2 linked regions of the Rhinolophus ferrumequinum genome follow. The protein of the gene in region 2 purifies or fractionates together with the protein of the main gene of each other region. This does not show direct contact. Links are inferred from orthologs where the notes say so. Each region holds a gene or a part of one and is shown on either strand. Other genes may lie near its edges.

Region 1 (7,205 bases), on a different chromosome or scaffold from region 2:
GCCTCTTGCCAGTGTCAGAGCAGGTGTCCTGGAGGCAAAAGTTGACCAGGCCCAGAGACAGCCGAGGGGCTGGGGAATAGCGGGGTATCTCTTAGAGCCACTCTCCCACTTTAGGATCTAAAATGCCCCTGGCCAGACAGAACCTCCCCAAGAGCCTAGGCTGTTATGGCCTCCAGGCCCACCATCTTGCCAGGTGAGACTGTGCCTGTGGCCCCAGAATGTTCCATCTGGTCCCAGGAGTATAGCGCACCCTACCTCCTTTCCCTCGCCCCACTCTGGGACATGTACCTACGAGCTTGTCTGACCCCTTTGGTCCTCCCTCTATGCCCCTGCTCCCCCCTCACCCTCGTGGATTTAGTCATCATGTAATTATTTGCTTATTTGTTCATCACAGATTTGTTGGGCACCCTCTCTGCGTCCAGCTGGATGCCTGAGAGGCAACCCTATAGAAGACAAGCCCAGGTCTTCCTGTCACCTGCATGATAGCATCTGTCCTGGAGGCCTAGCTTTCCTCTCACTTTGTCACTCATCTGTGAAGACCAGTTGCTTCTTCCCTGCCTTTGATCTGCCCTCAGCTGGGCTCCATCCACCTGGTCACTCCTTGGCTCCAGCTCTGACCTGTGAGGTCCTTCTTTTTGGCAGTGGGCCCTGCTCTCTGCTGGCCACTTCACAGGCTCCAGCAGGAAGACTCAGGATCCAGCTTTCCAGCCCTCCCATTCCAGGGTCACACTTTTCCTCCATCCCTCAAGTGGGCATTGTTCCCTGGTGACGTCCCAGTCTTTTTGGGGACCTGAATTCAAACCACTGTACTCAGGGGACATTTGATTCGTGGTTGTGAAAATGATTTTAAAGCTCACCTGAAAAAAATAAACAAAATGAGAATATCTAGGAAGTTTTTTTCAGGGGAAAAAAAAAGGCCAAGAAGGAAATATTAAACATTAAATATACAATTAAGTTGAACCAGGCTTGCATACCTGAAATAAATCCCACTTAGTCATGGTAGGTAATTCTTTTTACACATTGTTGGATTTTATTTGCTAATATTTTGAGTATTTTCGCATCTGTATTTATGAGAGATACTGGTCTGTAGTTTTCCTTTCTTGTAATGTCTTTCTCTGGTTTTAGGATTAGAGTAATGCTGACCTCATAGAATGAGTTTGGAAGTATTCCCTCTGCTTCTATCTTCTGAAAAAGATTGTAGAGAATTGGTGTCATTTCTCCATAAATATTTGGTAGAATTCATTGGTGAAACCATCTGGGCCTGGTGTTTTCTGTTTTGGAAGCTTATTAACTGATTCAATTTCTTTAATAGTTATAGGTCTGTTAAGATTATTTGTTTCTCCTTGTGTGAGTTTTGGTAGATTGTATCTTTCAAGAAATTGGTCTGTTTCACCCAGGAATCAAATTTGGGGGCATAGTGTTATTCATAATATTCCTTTATTAGCTTTTTAATGTCCATGAGATCAGTAATGATGCCCCTATTTCATTTCTGGTATTAGTAATTTGTGTTTTCTCTCTTTTTTCTTGCCTGACTAGAGGGTATCAATTTTATTGATCTTTTCAAAGAACCAACTTTTGATTTCCTTGATTTTTCTCTATTAATTTCCTGTCTTTGATTTCATTGATTTCTGCTCTAATTTTTATTATTTCTTTTCTTCTGCTTATTTTGGATTTAATTTTCTTTTTCTAGTTTCCTAAGGTGGGGGCTTAGATTACTCATTTTAGATCTTTTTTCCCCCTAATGTATGCATTCAAGCTAGAAATTTCCGTCTAAGCACTGTTTTCACTGCACCTCACAAATATTCATTAGTTGTGTTTTCCTTTTCATTTAGTTCAAAATTAACCATGAGATGCCATGTTTCATTTATCAGATTAGAAAAAATGTTAAAGTTTGATAATACATAGTGTGGGTTAAGGTGTGGGAAAATAGGCACATTTATACCTTACTATTGGAAATATAAGTTAGTTCACCATTTTGGATGGCAATTTGTACATATCTATAAAACTTTTAAAGGTTATATACATTTTAATTTAGTAATGTATAGATAAGATGTCCATACAGAAGTGATCATACACAAGCCATCTGTATATGGGATAGAATTTCCAATAGCAAAAGACCCAAGTGTCCATTAATAGAGGATTGCCTGAATATATCTATTCAATGAAAGTCTATACAGAGAATGGAGTATATCTAATACTAATATTGAAAGATGATTAAGGTATACTGTTAAATGAACAAGCAGGCTACAGGAAAGTGTGTTTAACGTGATAGCATTTGTGTTCTGTTTTAAAAAAAAATAGAAAGAAGAGCTTATTTTATGCTTGATTCGTATGAACACATCTGGAAACACATCATTGCTGTTCCCTCTGGGACAGAGGTGCTTGAGGGTCGAGGAAGAGCAGGGCACCTTTTGTTTTTCACCATGTACCTTCTTTACCGTTTGAGTAGGATTACATTTAATTTGAAAAACTAGTTTTAAAACCAAATTGCAGATTTGAGCCCACAGGAGGCTGAGAGCACGCTCAACCTTTCCTTTGCTCTCTCTTCGTTGTAAGACAGCATGCAATAGGCTGTCCACTCCTGGGCTTTGTACACCCTGGTCCTTTCTCTCATTTTATATCTAAGAGGAGTTAAAAAAAAAAAAAAAAAAAAAAAAAAAAACAAACAAACAAACAAAAAAAAAACTCTTGACCACTCTGCCAGATGGCACTGTTGATGGCTGGTGGTTTCGAAATGAGGAAAAGAGACTATTTTTGATCATTACAGAAAAAAGTAAAATTTGTTCTCTTAGAAGTGTTTTGATAGAAAGGTAATTTAAACTCATCATCTTTAAAAACTAGAGAAACTGAACATCCCTTGTACTCTACTACTTACTATTTTAGTGTTTTGTGCTGTTTCCCTGAATGTTTTTTTTTTCAATGCATCTATCATATTTTAAATGGCTGTAATCCCAGGGAACATACACTGTTGTGGTTGTTTACGTCATAGCATCCACATTTTCAGATGGCTACAGGGCCAGGAAACATTAATTTGGAGGAATGTTACACTTGATTCCTCAGAAAGAACACAAAGTCTGGAATTAGGATGTTACCAAAGAACACGCTGTTGGGGGAGGGAGCTCTTCCTCCCTCCCTCCCTCTGGAAAGAGAATCTCTCTGAGCGGGCAGTGGGGCACTTGGCTGTGATTGGCACCTTTGTGCTGTGTACAAGTTTGTGAAGGAAAATCAAGGCTTCTGAGGCTGCAGCTGAAATACTACTTGCTTCTTTTGGTAAAGCAGCTTGTGTTGAGGATAGTTGGGGAACTACAGCTTTTATAGATTCAATGTCTACTTGTCAACACATGCTTGACATTGGGTTGAGAATAATTTAAACATCTTTCCATTCTGTCTACCTTTTCCTAGATATGGTGGTCATAAATATACCCTGCTATTCACACTGGATTTTCTTGAAAATCAGATTGGCAGCTTTGCATAGCAACAAACAAAACTCCTGAGCTACCCAGCATGGGGGGGCGGGGTGTAGAGGAGAACCCTCTCCCAGCCAGCTGTGTTGATTTAGTGCAGCTGACTCTAAGCTTGAGCTTCCTCATTGGCAGAAGGAAGGCAACAGCTGTGCCCAAAGTTTATTGTGAGGATTAGACAAGATAACGAGTAAGGATGGTGTTTGTAGCAGAGATGGGCAAACAGAAGACTTTCAATACATGGCAGCTGGCTACCAAATTAACTTAGTGAAGGAAATTTAAGAAGATACAAAAAGCACACACGTATATAGTTCATTTACAAAAATGCAATGATACTATACAAAATTCAAAGTATTCAGTCATAGAGGATTCCCTTCCTAAGACCTATACAGCAAGATGTTTTCAATATTTTTCTTGAGCATCTACTATGGGCTAGGTGCTGTTCAGAAAGGTTAAGTGTTGAGTGAAGCTCTCCGGGCTGGTCCACAACAGCCACACTTCCCAGCCACACCCAAGATGGCTACTTGCTCCAGCCGGTCACTGGGCTCCGCGCAGGAGCACTTCCGCCTGCCTCTCCCAACATGGCACCACCAGCGAGCTCTGGGGCGGGGCCAAGGGCGGAAATGGGTGTGATAGGGACGGGAGCCGAGAGGGCACGCACTCTGAGACAAAATACTGGAAGTGGGAGCCTCAGGGTCGAAGGGATGATTCCCCCGCAGGAGGCGTCCGCCCGGCGGCGGGAGATCGAGGACAAGCTGAAGCAGGTGGGACTGGGGCTGGGAAGGTGGTGGAGGAGGTGAGGGAAGGAGCCGAGATCCGGGCCGGGGCATATACTCACGGAGGAGGCAGGGGTGGGTGGGAGCGCTCCCTTCAAGGAGATGGGGTTGGGGGCGAGAGCGCGGTGATCTCCTTTAGCTTCCGGCTTCTGCTACTATCGTCCCCTCCGCTTCCCCAGGAAGAAGAGACGCTGTCCTTCATCCGAGACAGCCTGGAGAAGAGCGACCAGCTCACCAAGAACATGGCAAGTAACGCCTCGGCTGGGAGGGGCTGACAGGCCTCCAGACCTTGGGGGGGAGCCCTGCGACCTGCGGTTCGGTCTATAAGGCCTGAGGTTCTGGCCCGGCTAATGATGGTGGTCGCGTGTGGGTTTCTCTAGCAACCGTGTGGCTTGTCTCTTACTTCGCTGCCTTCCCCTTGTCCGCCGCTTCACTGAGGATGCTGCAGCCCCTCTGGCCTGGACTTTCTGCTTTCTGTTCAAGTTCTCCATTCTTCCTTCTGTCTTTCTGCAAACATTTAGTGAGACTGACTTTGGTGGGCTGGGTACTGGTCACGTGGCAGCCTTCAGTTGGAGGGATGGTGGGATGGGAGGGATAGAGCACTTCCAAGATGAGGAGGGCAGGGGAACTCAGCCGTCACGCCTGGAGGGCTGTAGGGGTAGAACAAGCTTTGAAGTCAGATAGATCTAGGATCTAGCCCTCCCCCTCCACTTATTTGTGTATGGCTCCTGACAGGTAACTCTGGGCTTCAGTTAACGCATCCGATAAGACAGCCACTGTCAACCTCCCAGGGTGGCTGTGAAGGTCATAGGAGCTAATGCATGGGCTAACACATCTTGCACAGTACCTGGTATACAGTAGGTGCTCAACAGATAGCAGTTTCCTTCCTTATTTTCAGAGGAGACTGGAAAAGCACAAATTGAGTAAATACAAACTTGGGTATGTATTTAATAACATAATCGTAAAGTCCTATTCCTTATTGAATGACACTCCCCCTTAGAGAGGGAGGGTTTTGAAGGTACCAGCAATGCATTTGAGCCCCTCTATATGAAGTTACTTCCTGTTCAGTGTAGGAAAGCTTCAGAGAGAACAGAAATAGAGATTTAGCTTCAAAGGGTGGAAGGGAAGCCATCCTGGGGTGATTAACTTAGAAGAAGTTAATTTGCTGCTTGGCTTGCCTTCAAATCAAACTTCATCCAATTTATTTGAACCACCTCCTATGGTTCGGCACATGGGACGTGCTCAGGCTACAGAGATGAACAGGTACACCCTGCCCCTTCCCTCACAGAGCTTGGTGTCTAGAAAACCAGAGAAAAACGCAGCAAATGCCACGACCCGATGGGTAGAAGCGGTGCTGGGACCACCCTGAGGTCTGAGAGCACGGGGCTTCCCCCGCAGGTGTCTATCCTGTCATCCTTTGAGAGCCGCCTGATGAAGCTGGAAAACTCCATCATCCCTGTTCACAAGCAGACAGAGAACCTGCAGCGGCTGCAGGAGAATGTTGAGAAGACTCTGTCCTGCCTGGACCACGTCATCAGCTACTACCACGTGGCCAGTGACACTGAGAAGATCATCAGGGAGGGGTGAGCCAGGGCCAGAGGGTCACATTCCTAACGCCTCCTGGACCAGTGGCCATAGGCCTTGGGAGGGAGGGGTGGAATGTATTTGAGCCTGGAGTCCCTTGTGTTACTTCTTTTCTTTCCCCTTTCTATTACCATTCCCTTGGTCCTTCTCTTCATCTTCCATCCACCCAGGCCGATCTGGCTCTTTTCCTTCCCAGCCCCACAGGTAGGCTGGAAGAATACCTGGGAAGCATGGCCAAGATTCAGAAGGCTGTGGAATATTTCCAGGACAATAGCCCAGACAGCCCAGAGCTCAACAAAGTGGTAAGGGACCAGCAGGGTAATATGAGAGCGATGGGGACACCAGTCACTGCCCTGGTCTCAGGAGAGACTAAGCCAGCTTCAAAAAGGCTATAGTAGAATAAACAGAACTATATAATACAGTTCACAGACTGTAGTCATGAAGACCTCTGCCTCAGGAATGACATCATACGTTTTTGTTACATTTGTATAATTTAACTAAATTATAAATTACATATAAAATGTAAATTTAACATTTGATTTATATAAACGCATTTGTGGGGTTTTTTTTAATGTGGTAAAAATACATAACATAAAATTTATAATTTTTAAAGTTATTTTTGATTACAGTGGACAAACAATATATTCATTTCAGGTGTACAACATAGTGATTAGACATTTATATAATTTACAAAGTTATCACCCCAATAAGTCTGGTACCCATCTGACATCATGCGTACTTATTGCAATATTGACTCTATTCCCTATACTGTGTTTTACGTTTCCGTGACTCATTTAATAAGTGGCGGTTTGTATTTCTGAATCCCTTTCACCTTATTCACCCATCCCCCCAACACCCCTCCCAACTGACGAGCGCCAATTTGTTCTCTGTGTGTATGAGTTTCTTTCTGTTTTGTTCGTTTGTTTATTTTGTTGTTCAGATTTCACGTGTAAGTGAGATCAGATGTTATTTGTCTTTTCTCCGTCTGACTTATTTCACTCAGCATAACACTCTCTAGGCCCATTCATATTTTAACCATTTTGAAGTGAACACTTCAGTGGCATGAAGTACTTTCACATTGCTGTGCTGCCATCACCACCGTCCATCTCCAGAACCCTTTTCATCCCAAACTCAAACTCTGATCCATTCAACAGTAACTCCCCTTTCTCCTCTCCCTCCAACCCCTGGCAACCATTATTCTACTTTCTGTCTCTATAAATTGGACTATTCTGGGAACCTGAATTCATGTTTTTACATTTGACTTTTTGCATTGTATCTTTGTGTGTAAGCATTGGGGTTATTAGGTCACTAGAATAAGATGGGGTAAGGCTGAGAAGTGAAGTTTACTCAGTGCATGGAGGAATGGAGAGAATGTTGCCAGGAA
Region 2 (7,110 bases):
ACTTAAGGGCACAAAATGTAAATGTAATATAATGTAACTACATCACTGGAAACACAGATCCCCCACAACTCTGCCACTATCATAATGTATTAGTCATTATTTTTTTAGTTTTGCATTCAACACTTATTTGTTGAGCATCTACCATGTATGAGACATGGGTGAACAATACAAAGTTCCCTTTCCTCAAGAAGCGCATATCCTAGTGGGAGCAGACCAAAAAAAAGTGAAGAAATAGATAATATATTTACAGGTTGTGGTTAGTGCTATTACTGGGTGGCTGATGTATTAAATACCTGCTATATAAGGCTCTACAATGATGAATAAGACAGGAAGCTGCCAGCAAGGGACTTATAATCTGAGTTAACAGAAGACCAAACAATTGTCAGTCTTTGGTAAAAAAGATTGCTAAGGTATGGCAAATTATAGTTGTTTTGAGGATTAGAGTCTATACAAATTATGGTCCATCACAAACTGATATGCCATGCACTATGAAACACTTAGGTGTTCATTTAATGTTAAAAAAAAAAATCTAAAGAACAGGAAACTGTGCCTGTCATAGTATTTCTTAAGACTAAAACCAAAGGAATTTAATGCGTCAAAGTTATTTTTTCTAGGTCAAACTAAATCTCATGCAGAATTGAAAACACAAAGCTATAATGATATTTAATTGCCTCAAAAGCTACTGCTGCAATTTTATGTGTAATTATTTTATTTGCTGCTAGTTTCTGCATATACTGTGCCAACATTTGCTAGCTGGCTTTAGAATACAGACCAGAAGTTTAAGAAAAGAAAGAAAACACCACCAGTAATTTTCATATTTGCGAAAGATTCTTTCCTCTTTTGAGTGTTGTTGTTTCAGTAATACAGTAGTTTTCTTCTCCTTCTCCTTCTTCTCCTTCTTTTTTTATTAAGGAAAGATCTGTGAGTCCTCAAGTGCCATTCATACCAGCTTATGGCAGGATCACCTAACTTGAGAAATGGCCTGTCACTGAGACCTTAAGGGGAGACAAGAAAAGGGTTTAGTTTCACTGTGAAGTGGGGTACTACTGCCAGGGATACAGAAAACTTAATTTCCTTTCAACCTCTGTTGCCAGGTCTCTGACTCATGTTTCCTGTGTGTTTTAAAATGGATGATCCTGGGACAGTTGAGAAATTGCGTGCTTGAGCAACATTTTGACTTGTCTTCCGATGTAAAGGACAAAAAAATAAAGTCATGCTAAGTCCCAGGACTCAAGGGGGCTGTACGAAGTATCAACTTCTTTTTCTTGGGCTGTATTTCTCTGATAGGTGTGCAAATTCAGCACATAAAAGATATTTGAGTAATAATAAGTATAGTTTGTTTTCAGTCTGTGATAATGACTATCTTGGCTGCATTCCTGCAGAAGCCATCCCTGAGACATGGTTTCAAGAGCTAGTATTTAACTTGGGAGGTGATACCAGGAAACACCAGGAGGAGAGTGGGGAAGCCAGGTGGGGAAAGGAAAGGAAGCCAATAAAAAATGTGCTATGAAGCCATTCCTGAAGATGCTGGAGCTGTGTCAAGGGCAGCTCTGGAATACATTGAATAACACGCATCTGAGCTACTCCAGGAGGGAGGCAGACTGGCTGGCTGAAGCCTGTATGTGGTCCCATGAACTGCCTAGTGCTTCCAGCTTGTCCTGGTTCCAGGAAGAAAGCCCAGAGGCACAAGTGGGCAGGCTTTCCCAGAAAGCAGAGGGTACAGCAGAGAAATATGGGTTAAGGTTGATGGCCTCTGCCACTGTCCATCCCTTGCATGCCATGTTGTGTTCAGTCTGTCCTGTCACTGACTTTTCACGCTGATGTCCAGTCATCCCCACATCAGGGGTATTGATAAGCAGAGCTATGGGTCCTGCCACTGTAGGTTCTGAGGTCATGATGATTTCCATTATTTCCTCCCTGATCACCCATTCTAGATTCCCTCACCCTCAAATAGCACTTTTGCTGGCCTGGGCTGCTTGATGAAGTGGCCCACAGCTTTGTCCCTGCGTCCCTCATCCCAGACATGGGTCTAGGCCCTGGTTGCCATGCCCCTGTCAGGCCAGGGTTGCTGCATTGCCCATTAACTGATATCACCAGGCATGAAAAAGATGTCCAGTGCATGTCCTGAGTTCCAGAAATAATTTTCCCTGCCCCTATTTCCTCCTGATAATAAGGGTCAGTTTTTTGTTGACTGAGGAACACAAATAAAGAGAGGCTTTAGATTTAGGTGAACTTTGTGTCCCCTGGCTCCTCCAGCAGAGCGTCCTCCCCTGCTGGAGGAGCCAGGACTCTATGAGGGACACAGCACCATACGATGGTGTTAGATTGAAAATACGTAGTACATACCATAGCACAGCATCCTAACCTGCAAAATGCCCTCCTCAAGCTGGAGCCTCAGTTGTGCCTTCAGAGGCCCTTCTAATGTTCTATCAGGATGGCAGCTTCTGGGTGTGTGATGTGTGGCACAATCAGTGATCTTGTGGGATAGTCCCCTTTGTCGGACCTCTCTCACTCTTTAGAGGTCCCTGATCCTAGGTGATATCCTGGGCAATTCCACGATGATAGATCAGACACTATGTGAGCAATTCAACAGTGATGCTTGCCAGGCCGTGCAGGTAGGGAAGATAAACCCAAACCCAGGATAAGTATCTGGGTCTGAGAAAACCAACTTGCCACCAAATGGCTGCCTGGTCTCTTCGAGGGAAGCACAATGCACATTGGCCCACTGTAGCTGAAGGGGGTGGTCGCACTGTCTAGATCACCTTGTTGGCAGGAGTACGTGTAGCTCCATCCCTGCCACCATGGCTTCCCCATTCATAGGCCCATTCTAAAACACTGAGGTGATCCAGGACAGAGGCTGGTCAAATCATCCTGGGTACAGGGGCTCCCTGCTGCAGATGCTCTCTGGTGGGCATTCATGTGACACATACAGATTGGCCAAACACAAAATTTCTGTGAGGTGCACATGTCAATTCTTGGGGTAAGCTGGCAAGGCCCCACCATGCTCTGCCTCTGCCCATGGCTACGCTCCTCTCCATTCAGCTGTAACCAGCCACGCCAACAGGTCTCCTACCTTTGGGAACTTCTAGACCGGAAGCAGACGGGATACTCTGGGTCCCATATAGTCCAAATGGCAGGCCAGCTCTCCCAAGAACTTTGCCCCCATGCTCAGCTCCACTACGATGGCAGCAAGCACAGCTCCCAGTATGCTTCAGGTCAGCCAGTACCAACCAGTCTCACAGATACTTGGGTGAATCCCTTCCACGCCTTGAAGGAGTATCTGAGCCCAATAGTTTGGGCCTCTCTTTATAATGTGGAGTGACTTTAGGGTGACCATACATCATCCAAACAGGGACACTTTTGACAGTAAAAGGGGCACTCTTTATTATTAAGCCAGGATACCAGAAAAGACTCAGTTATGTCACTGGGGTCACCCTAGTTAACTGCCGCCTTTTCCAGTTTAAGTGGCCAGTTCCAGGACAACTAGAAAAATCCCTCTGAAAACCCCATCACGTGAGCTTAAACTCCATTGTCCTCCATTATGCCATTTCTTTGCATAGACTCTCAACTCCTTTGCTCCCTGCTCCTTATGCCTTGTAAAACTCCAACCTTCGTTACACTAATTTTCAACTACCTACCTACACCAGAACAGCCAAAAATGGACAAGCATGATGACTGGCTCCATTTTAAACTTAGGACAGCATATCCCAAGAAGGCCTTCAGTCCTGCCTGGAAATCTTACCGCGTTTTCTTAGTAATATGCTTCACAAAATCCAATACTAAGATTTCACTCTTTCTCCTCAAACCTCCGTTGTCCCTCATCCTTCCTATTCCCGGATGACCTTGCTGCTTCTTTTGCTAACAAAATAGAAGCAACCAGAAGAGTATTTTCTCATCTTCGTCACCACCTTTTCCCATCCCCGCCATGGCCACGGTAATTTCTTGCAGACTGCTGCAGTCGCTGTGACATTTCTTTTCCTCTTGCCCCGGTACGGTTTACCCCCCGCCCCGCGAGATCCTGGAAGGAAGTGACTGCCGTTGGGTGTATCCAGCGCACCCGCACAGCGCCTAGGCCATAGAGGTGCTCACTGAGTTTGTTGAATTTAAACAATCAACCCGCAGGGTTTCCAGGCTGTAGCCTGGCATTCTCCTCCGTAACTTGCATGGCCCTGTGGCTTTTGTGTGTCACTTAGCCTCTCCGGGCCTCGGGGGGAGTCACGGCGTCCTGAGCCAGCGCAGAGCCCACCACAAACGCCCCGAGGGCCCTCCTCCGCTTCCTGGAAGGTATCTGAGGGCAAGGGTAAGAACAGCGCACCGCGCACCCAGCGACGTGCATCCTGCCCCCCTTCCCCCCCCCCACGCCGCCCGCCGCCCGCCGCCCGCCGCCCGCCGCCCGCCGCCCGCCGCCCGCCGCCCGCCGCCCGCCGCCCGCCGCCCGCCGCCCGCCGCCCGCCGCCCGCCGCCCGCCGCGCTCTCCTCCCCAGAGGGCGGCTCATCGAAAACTCGGCGCTCTACTACTCGGCGGATCGACGCCGTCGGCGCTCCCAGCGGGCGGAAGTGGCGGGCCGCGGCGGTGGGGCTGCGACCCGAGAGCTGCTCCGAGAGCGGCCGGAGCCCTATCGGAGCGGGCTGAGGGGCGGCAGGCCGGCTGCAGGTATGTGGTCCTGGAGGTCCCGGCGGGGGGCCCGCCCGGGGAGGCGCGGCCGGGCAGGGGGCGAGCCTCGCTCCTGGAGAGGCGGGCGGGAGTGGCGGTCCGCCGGCGCCCGTGGTCAGCCCCTCGTCCGGCTCTCCAGTCCCTGACCGTGAGGGGGAGGGAGCCGCGCCGTCGCGTCCGCGGTCCGCGCCCCTCGCGGGACCCGGGCCTCCGGGACGTTGGCCCTCGTTCGCCTCACCTGCTGCCTTGCGCGCCTGCGTCGTTGTCGCGGAGTTAGGTTTCAGAATTTGTTCGCAGAGCGAATGTGAGGCACGTTTTGCTTAGGTTTGCATCAGTTTAGAGCAATACCGAGCATCTTCTAGGTGTCAATCACTGTTGTAAGCATTTAACATTTACTGACTGGTTTAATCCCATTAGCGGTAGGTGCTGTTGCAGTATACCCATTTTCCAGAAGGGGGAACAAGCTCAGACTGGGGTCTGAGCTTGGTTAGGTAACTAGCCTGCAGTATAGTTAGTTACTCAGTGCCTGCACCCCCAAACCACTGTGCTGTCTCCAAGGTAAGCTCTCTCTTGCTTACCTTGGTATCGCAAGATTTAGTAAATAGACACTTTTTTAACTCCAATAAACAGTTCTTGAAAGAGCTTGTCTTAAAATGGAAATAAGCTATTTTTAATTGCTAAAGGTTAATCATACTAATGAGTATGAAAATAACATTTTCATTGTTTTTATGAATCCGAGTAAACCTACAAGGAAAACTTTAAAAAATACTTTAAAAATCAGCCACACCTTAATTAAATCGTTTGGGTGCACTATATTGAAATGCTAGTGCTCACTGAGGTGAACGTGGATCTGTGTCCTAATGAGTAAACAATACTTTATGTTATCATAGTCTGGCCAGGCTCTGTGTAAATGACTCTAATGGCAAAGGAACTGAAACCCAAAAGCTTCCCAGGGATTACCTGTATGTTAAAAGTTGACTCAAAGGGTGGCAATAGAAAGAGGATGATATGTGTTTAGTACTTAAATGTTCTATTTAAGTAGAAACTTACTAATTTTAAGCAGAGAAGCAGGATCCTCCAGTGTAACTTGGAACAACTATTGGAAGTTTCAGAAAATAATTTTTTTCTTTGTCAAGTATTTCCTGTACTGAATATCACTTTGAACTATTAATATCACCTCTCAAAAAGATGATTATTAACCTGCTAAGTTAAATTTTCATTCCATAGACATTTGAGAACCTGTTGTATATGAATCTTACGGGAAATGAAATTGGTACTCAAAAAATTTTGCAAAGGCAGCCTTCTAGTAAAGGACCGTGAACAGTTTCTAGTGTCATCCAGTAGCAGAATTAGGCCATATAGGAAATGCTAGTTACACAATTAATCTCTCAGTTACTCATGCTTTTTCGCCCATTCACCAGCTTACTTCTCATCTATCCTGGATTCCTGGTACAGCATCTAGCACATAGAGGAGCTTAAATATTTATTGAATGGATGAGTTATAGGCCAGTGTTGAGTAGAGAGGATTTTGCAATTGACTGGAAAGGGAAATAACATTGATGACTCTGCTAAGCAGTATGCTAGAAGTGTTGCTTGTTCTCAGACCCTGGGGAATGTGCCCATGGATCCCCTGGAGTGCCTGGTGAAATCCAGTGGTAGTAGTGTTCAGTTATAATCACGTGATTCAGTATATGTTTATGTTAATTTAAAAGAATTATTGATAAAACCACATAAAATTAAAGTAATTGTAGAGAACGGATGAATCTTGAAGCTGTGGACATACTCATATGGCATCCTTGGATTTCAGTTTGAAAATTAGTCAAAAGGTATTTTGGCTTAGTAGTCGAAACAACCATTTACTAGTCCATGCACTACCACCCACCTGCTTTGTAGCCTGAGCTGAGTTACTTAGCCTGTTGGGCTTCAGTTTTCTTTTCCCTGTAGTCAGAGAATATACAAAACTAGATTATTTCTAAGAGTTCTTCCTGCTTTGGAAATTTCCAACTCAGTGAATCCTATAACCACTTAGCACTTGTCTTATCCTTGTCGTAGGGGCTGTAACTATGACTGGTATTTACATGTCTGTCAAAAGACTAAGCTCTTGTTGGACAGGGTTTAGTCTCGGTCATTTTTGTATCTCCCAATTTTAGCATACAGCCTGACACACACATTAGAAATAAAACAATGTTAGCCTACATTCAGAAGGGGCATTTTTGCCCTCTCAAAGAATGGCTAAGAACTAAACTATAGTACTGAGTTTAAGTACAGCAGGAATTCAGAGAAGGGAAGCGTGTATTGGGGTGGAGTAATTGGGAGGCTTCATTGAAGTCAGCCTGTGATGCTGCCCTTCAGAGGGAAGGCAGGTGAACATCTGGGCAGCACACCAGGAACAAAGGCTCGCTGGCTGGTAAATGAGAGCATTTTGGATTATGGGGTGCCTTGAAGGTCAGGCACGG

What was found. Proteins that work in one complex are often made in the same cells at the same time.
Region 1: the proteins of EXOC2 (region 2) and EXOC7 fractionate together in Homo sapiens (co-fractionation; 4 studies listed by BioGRID, with this or other methods). This does not show direct contact. The link is inferred for Rhinolophus ferrumequinum from reciprocal best matches to the Homo sapiens genes EXOC2 and EXOC7.

The regions. Positions count from the first base shown.
Region 1 is NC_046304.1:50,885,210-50,892,414, reverse strand, and holds the start of EXOC7 (exocyst complex component 7), read left to right. Parts: upstream 1-4,067; 5' UTR 4,068-4,084; coding exon 4,085-4,225; intron 4,226-4,416; coding exon 4,417-4,482; intron 4,483-5,635; coding exon 5,636-5,820; intron 5,821-6,017; coding exon 6,018-6,123; intron 6,124-7,205. UniProt on the Homo sapiens protein: Component of the exocyst complex involved in the docking of exocytic vesicles with fusion sites on the plasma membrane.
Region 2 is NC_046292.1:93,602,769-93,609,878, forward strand, and holds the start of EXOC2 (exocyst complex component 2), read left to right. Parts: upstream 1-4,031; 5' UTR 4,032-4,300; intron 4,301-4,502; exon of another isoform or gene 4,503-4,654; intron 4,655-7,110. UniProt on the Homo sapiens protein: Component of the exocyst complex involved in the docking of exocytic vesicles with fusion sites on the plasma membrane.